Linked DNA regions of Danio rerio. The protein of the gene in region 2 binds, or shares a complex with, the protein of the main gene of each other region. Links are inferred from orthologs where the notes say so. Each region holds a gene or a part of one and is shown on either strand. Other genes may lie near its edges.

The links.
Region 1: the proteins of galr1a (region 2) and gal are in contact, whole or in part, in a cryo-EM structure (PDB 7WQ3), measured with the Homo sapiens proteins. The link is inferred for Danio rerio from reciprocal best matches to the Homo sapiens genes GALR1 and GAL. Residues at the interface, in NP_001471.2 of Homo sapiens: Glu32, Gln92, Thr94, Val95, Tyr96, Leu98, Pro99, Thr100, His112, Gln174, Phe177, Arg180, Gln184, Phe186, Cys187, Trp188, Glu189, Gln190, Ile266, His267, Ala270, Phe275, Leu277, Ser281, Phe282, Arg285; in NP_057057.2 of Homo sapiens: Gly33, Trp34, Leu36, Asn37, Ser38, Gly40, Tyr41, Leu42, Leu43, Gly44, Pro45, Val48.

Annotation. Positions count from the first base shown.
Region 1 is NC_133200.1:11,373,026-11,376,147, reverse strand, and holds the end of gal (galanin peptides preproprotein), read left to right. Parts: intron 1-144; coding exon 145-231; intron 232-398; coding exon 399-470; intron 471-2,056; coding exon 2,057-2,118; 3' UTR 2,119-2,303; downstream 2,304-3,122. UniProt on the Homo sapiens protein: Endocrine hormone of the central and peripheral nervous systems that binds and activates the G protein-coupled receptors GALR1, GALR2, and GALR3.
Region 2 is NC_133194.1:24,322,095-24,326,398, forward strand, and holds the start of galr1a (galanin receptor type 1), read left to right. Parts: upstream 1-1,391; 5' UTR 1,392-2,066; coding exon 2,067-2,726; intron 2,727-3,893; coding exon 3,894-3,959; intron 3,960-4,304. UniProt on the Homo sapiens protein: Receptor for the hormone galanin. The activity of this receptor is mediated by G proteins that inhibit adenylate cyclase activity.

The DNA.
Region 1 (3,122 bases), on a different chromosome or scaffold from region 2:
TTAGCACCATATGTGTGCCACGGGGAGGTCTAAATGAATATGAATATGAGCGGCGGGGCTGCAGGGTCTGCTGGTGAATATTGGAGTGCCTCTTCAAATGATCATTGGGATTGTGTGTGTGTGTGGTTGTGCTTTTATGATCAGATGCCATTGATAGTCACAGGAGCCTCAGCGACAAACACGGACTGGCAGGAAAGAGAGAAATGCCTTTAGATGAGGATTTCAAGACAGGTAAGACACATGTGGCGCCGGCGGGGCTCATTACTGACATTGTTAATAATGCTGTTTTAGGCTTTGGGAGTGGATTGAAATATTCATTAATTGTTAATGTACAGATGCACAGATGTTGAAATGGAAATAATAAACGATAATGAGTTGTTTGTTTATGTTTTTTTAAGGAGCTCTGAGGATAGCAGATGAGGATGTCGTCCATACCATCATTGACTTTCTTTCGTATCTCAAATTAAAAGGTAAGCGGGGATAAATAAGTTACATAACAAATAAATTAATATAAAAAAACTATACACAGAACACCCCTCACAAATCTCTATTTTAAATTCATATTAGTGATAGGAAGCTATACAATATTATATTTGTGCATATACATGAGATTAGTCAGTACTGAAGCCAAATCTGGAGCTTATAACTCCAAATAACAAAAATAACTTTCCATAACGGTCCACATACTAGTACAACCAAATTTATGTTAAACAGAAATATTAAATACAATTTTTTAAAAAGAGTCAAAATTAAGAGAAGCTTAAAATTGTAAAAATTTAGTTGAAATCTTGAAGGTTGTATTTTTTAAAAAATATTTTGCTTGAATTTAATTGTATAATCTTTACATTTCTAAATATGTTTGGTAACAAAAATATTATTTTAATAAAAATATCTGTTTAATAAATCTGTTTTGTTTAAATGGACCAAAATACAATACCTATGTTGACTGGGAAATGGATAAAAATATTCATTCTCAAAATGGGGTGTACTCATTTATGCTAAGTGCTATATATATATATATGAATTTACATATTATTTAATTTATTATAGATATAATTTTATAAATATTTTTTATTAATTTAATTTAGAATTATATATAGTATATTTATTATATGTATTATAGTATATTAAAATGCAAGAAATCAGTAAAAGAAGACATTTCAAATATATTTTGTATGTAAAAAGTTTCAAATATTTTTTTTCACAAAAATCTAAAAAGCAACTAAATATTAAAATAATTAATTAATAAAAATTTATAAAAAATAGTAAAATATATTACCAACATTGAAAATAAAACATTTTTCTAAATAAATCATATTAATATAATTAGAAAATATTTCTTAATAATCATTAATATAATAAAAAATATATATTTGAATTATTTTTTTAATAAATTACTTTGAAATTATTTTAAATAGTCATAATATTTATATTGGATTTCGTAAGACAAAAACAGTACAAAAAAAAACTTACTTGCAAAAAAAACAACAACAACAACAACAAAAAACCCTCTTTCTGACCCGGTACATAATGCATGATGATATTTTTATAATATATTCTGAGACAAACATTTATGAAAATCATCTGCTGTGTGACTAATTCATTTCGTTGAATATATTCAATTTCCACTCTTATCTCGTATTAAAAAACTTTAAAAAAAAAACGTTTACTAGAAATTATCCAATTTACTCCAATATTAATAAACAGACCTCATCATAAAATCATAAACCTCTCTAGTTCTAAAAAGTAGAAAAATCCACTGTTCACCCAATATATAGCTAAAGTCAAAATTAGTAGCCCTCCTGATGTTTAAAAAAAATCTAAACTGCTTTAATCTAGCCGAAATAAAATAAATAAGACTTTCTCCAGAAGAAATATACTATAGGAAATACTGTGAAAATTCCTTGCTCTGCTAAACATCATTTGGGAAATAATTGTAAAAGAAAAAAATAAATAAATCACTAGAAAGTGAATCATTTTGACTTCAACTGCATCTTGACTGAGGAAGTGAATTGTTCTTATTGTCCCCATTTGTACTTTTTTCTTCATCCTGCAGAAATTGGGGCTCTGGACAGCCTGCCGTCCTCTCTCACATCAGAAGAGATCAGTCAACCCTAAATTTGACCGAAGTGAGCACTCGCACACCCTGACCTCCTCCACTGTGTCACGCTGAACTCTTTCTCTCTCAGAGGCTGTTCATTCACACTCATAACACGCTAAACCTTCAATATGGCCACGTATTCACAATCACTCGACGGCTGATGTGGAGATGGATTCAAAAATAAAACTCATAAATGGCATTCCACTCAGCTTATCCTCTGTCTGATCTTTTAGTTTTCAATATCTTTAATCATCAGTCTAAAATGTTGATATTTTGAAAAAAAAAAAAAAAGTCATTTATTTGATCAAAAATACTGTAACATGATAAAACGAAGAAATATTCACTTTCTTTTCGACTTAGTCCCTTTATTAATTAATGGTCACCACAGCGGAATGAACCGCCAACTTATCCACCATATGTTTTACGCTGTGGATGCCTTTCCAGCTGCAACCCGGTACTGGGAAACATCCATACACACTCATACACTACAGACAATTCAGCTTACCTAATTCACCTATAGCGCATGTCTTTGGACTTGTGGGGGAAACCAGACTCCAGAGCACCCGGAGGAAACCCACACCAACACGGGGAGAACATGCAAACTCCACACAGAAACACCAACCGACCAAGTCAAGGCTCGAACCAGTGACCTTCTTGCTGTGAGGCGACAGCGCATAAAAACCTTCTGGATAAGTTGGCGGTTCATTCCGCTGTGGCGACCCCGGATTAATAAAGGGATTAAGCCGACAAGAAAATGAATAAATAAATGAACACAAAGTGATGTTTTATAAACAAATTTCAGAAGGAGCATGATCAGTCTTTGACGAGGCCAAGTCATCACACACACAATCATTCTATTATCCAATCCGCTCAAGAGCAAACCCCTATAGTCAAACATGTCATACCTCCGTTTTCTCTCGAATTCAGCATCCCTCCACCACCCCAACCCCACACTATTAAACCAGATACCTATTTAAATCTGAGGGGGGAGCTTTCTGGATCCGGGCTAGAGTGTGTACCC
Region 2 (4,304 bases):
ATGGACACTGGTGGTGGAGGATGAATCAAATCAACCCAAATCTGCAACATAGGCTCATTCTGATCTACGTATGGCTGCATTTTGTTTTTAAAATGAACACTATGTGGTGGTATGACGCCATTCTTTTTTGCGCTTACCAGCTGACCTCTTAATTCTGTATGGACAGCTTTCCCACTGTTACTAGTTTGTCCAGTTAGCTCACCATGTACGTTGGCTTACTTGAGATACAGAGAGGAGTTGACCAAGATGACAGGGTTTGAGTCCAGTGAAGAATGGTTCCAGAAAGCAGATAAGACAAAAACAGAATCCAAAATTAAATAAACAAGTAAATATCAGGGTGAGAATGTGGTAAAATCTGAAAATGTGTTAATAAGATGAGGATTTTCTTTGTCTGGACTGCTTTTTAAAACTGTTGGTTGAGTTTAGGGAAGTGGGTGGGCGGGTCAATCTTTGCTTTTGAAAACACTTAGTCAGTCAGTCAGTCAGTCAGTCAGTCAGTCGACAGCAGCCTCTGGTAGATTTGTGAAAACAAAAACTGCAAAAAAAAAATAAATAAATAAATAAAAAAATTTACATTATGGGACACATTTGCCGCTCTCCAGAAATGTATATAGAGGTATGTTTTCAGAATGAGCCTGGATTGCAAATCTATAAAGTGATTTGAGTGTTCATATAAGTGATTTATAAATGTAATGAATTATAAATTATTATTAATATTAAGCCAATACTCTAAATCAGGTAAGTATGACATGCAAAATGTCCAAGTGGACCGGATTAAGAACAACTAGTTATCCTGTCACTGCAGATCTACATGAATCAAAGTAAAGTATTGTTTAAATGTCAACTCTGTGTATTACGTGCGTTAATAATAATAATAATAATAATAATAATAATAATAATAATAATAATAATAATAATAAACGTCCAAAGTTCATCTTTAGTTTCTGGGAAATACGCACTGTCAAGCTATTTAAACGTACTTTTTCCTTTCGGAATTTTAAATGAGAACACACTGCTTAATTATTTATACAGTTTATACATAAAAACATAATAAAATAGTGCACAAGCACCCTCTCCATGGGAGTGGGTAGAGCTAAATATCCATTTTGGGGCATATGTTTCACTAAACACATAAGACAGAATTTTCTACTAGTCATTCTAGACAGATTCTAGATGTTTACATTTACTTTAATTATACATTTTTAAAATGATTTTATACAAACAAATGCCTTTTAGAAAATATTAATAGTAAACAAGACCTCTTTTGATCACTACTATACATTTAGTGTGCTTTATTACAAACTTTTGTGATTCATTAAAATAATTTGTGTGATTCACAAAACAAATAATTTATATACAAAAATTAAACATGCTTTTAAATCATCATCACTACCGCATTTTTGTTTTATTTTTTTTTATGAAAAACATTTGGTTGAACATGTTTATATATATATATATATATATATATATATATATATATATATACAAATTAGTGCCAACAATATTGTAATTCTAAATAACTAAACTTGACCCCTTCTGACCTGTAAATGCATAATACTCAAAAGGGGTCTAATGGAAAGTAATAAGTGATAAACAAAAGGAGAGGGGCCGCTAAAAATGAAAGATGTGCTTTTCCCATGTCCATGTAAGAGGATGGGTGAGTAAGGCTGGGGAATTGGTGTCTCGGTGACGTGCGCACAGGCAATATTTTATTGCAGAGGCAGAACAGTTCTTCTCCACCTAGCGCGCGCTCAAAACGCACGAAGAGCACCTGCTGATGAAAACATGAATCTGTGAGCGCTGTCAGTACGAGAAATCAAAAGGATTATCGATATCATCATAAACTTTAACAGGTTAACATGAAAAAAGTATGAAAAGAATATTAATTTTGTGATGCGCGTAAATGAGCACATTCTACTTAAACCCCGTTGCTGATGCTGCTGCTGCTGGACTCCAGTAAACTTTACAGGATTTTCAGCCTCCTCTGAAAAATCAATAACCCAAGGAAATTAACTGCAGAAGACTTCCTTTTCACGACGAAGCATCAAAATAAGCTCACGCTGAAGATGGGCACCCAAAACAACAGTGATTTGGACAGACCTAGAAGCAACATAGACTTAGAAGCACCTGAAAAAAACCTATTTGGCATCGGCACAGACAACTTAGTCACGCTTCTGATTTTCGGACTCATATTTACTCTTGGCGTCCTTGGAAACTCTCTGGTGATCACCGTTCTGGCTCAACGCAAACCCGGACAGCAACGAAGCACCACCAACATCTTCATCCTCAACCTCAGCGTGGCAGATCTGTCCTACCTGCTCTTCTGCATCCCTTTTCAGTCCACAGTCTACATGTTGCCCACATGGATCTTGGGCGCCTTTATTTGCAAGTTCATCCATTACTTTTTCACCGTGTCCATGCTCGTAAGCATCTTCACCTTATCAGCCATGTCGGTGGACAGGTACATCGCCATAGTGCATTGCAGAAAGTCTTCGTCCATTCGAGTTGCGAGGCATGCGCTGATCGGGGTGCTGGTCATATGGGTGCTCTCTTTCGCCATGGCCACTCCGGTCGCCTACTATCAGGGCATCGTGGAAAGTGAGGACAACAGCACGTTTTGCTGGGAAGTGTGGCCAGATCACGACAGGAGAAAAATCTATGTGGTCTGCACTTTTGTTTTTGGATATGTGCTGCCGCTGATTCTGATTTCTTTCTGTTATGCCAAGGTTGGTGGATTGCCTTTAATTGTAGCTCGATAATGTAAAGTTTTGATCCTTATTCATGCAAAATATGGATAGTTTATAGTCTATTAAACAAGTCACTGGAAAAAAAAAGATGCTTAAGTAGGCTAATTGAGAAGCAGGAATCCTTTTTTGCCGAGCTCCTAAAAATAATCTTTGTACTTGTTTACATATTTACATTATATTTTATAGGATTTTCTTTCGATAAAAGTTTCAAGAATCTGTTAAGTTATGTTTTATGTTCATTTTATTCCACTGTTTTATTTGACCTGAACAAAATGTCTTCTAGGTCCTGTTTATTTGATGCCTTTATCACATAGCAACAAAATGTAATCCTGCATTAATATTTTAACTCATATGAATATGTATTATTAAAAATAAATTAATAATAATAATAACAATAATAATAATAATAATAATAGAGTTTCCCAGCTTGCAGCTGAAAGGAATTTGCTGTGTAAAACCTTTTTCTAGATAAGTTGGGGTTAATTCCACTGTGGCGACCCCTGATGAATAAAGGGACTAAGCCAAAGAAAAATAAATTAATAAAAAAAAAATAATAATAATAATAATAATAATAATAATAATAATCATAATCATCATAATAATACAATTATAGTTTAAACTATTTTGATCTATTGTTATTTAAAAAAACAAAATCACTTTTTTATGTACACTTTTAACATTTTATATGAAAAATGCAATACTTTTTCTTAAACGAGAGGGAGAGAGAGAGAGAGAGGGAGAGAGATAGAATTGTGTGCAAATAATTGTAGGCTAGCAGTATCTACCTTATTTTTAACATAAGAGTGGGCGTATCCATTTTGTATACAAGACTTCTGGTGTCACTCCTTTCATTTATGTTAACACAAAGCAGCTCATTTTATTGCCTGATATTGCAAAAAAAATATATATATGCCTTTTTACAATATTATAATATATTGTCATAAACGCAAATTGATTTCTAGTATGAAGAGTTTTACAATTTATTACACCTTTATTTTTTTATTGCAGCCCTAATAAACCAGAAGTCTCACACACATTTTACAGAAAATAGTTCATTTCTGCATCACAAATTATAATGTGAATATTAAGAAACCTTTGCCCCATTTCATTTTTATTTCAAACCATTATGTGCCTATTTGTTCTCAGGTCCTCAATCATTTACATAAAAAGTTAAGAAACGTCTCCAAAAAGTCAGAGGCCTCAAAAAAGAAGGTAAGAAAAGTTAAATGTATTTGTTTCAGATATGTTTAATTACAAATTTATTTTGTTATATATTTATATACAGCTGGGAAAATAAGCATTGAACAAACTTTAGTGATTTAGTCAACATTTTTCTCAGAAATCATATCTCTAAAGCTGCTGTTGACTTAAATTGTTCCCTGGATAATGGTAACAAGCAAATAAATCCATACATGCAAAGAAAACAAACCTATTTAGTTGACAAATTAAGTTATGCGTAATAAAATTAAATGAAAAAGTATTGAATGCATGAAGAAAGGGAGAAGTAGAATGGAAGTAAAAGCCCTGACAGCAGCAGAAATCCCTCAGTAGTTTTTC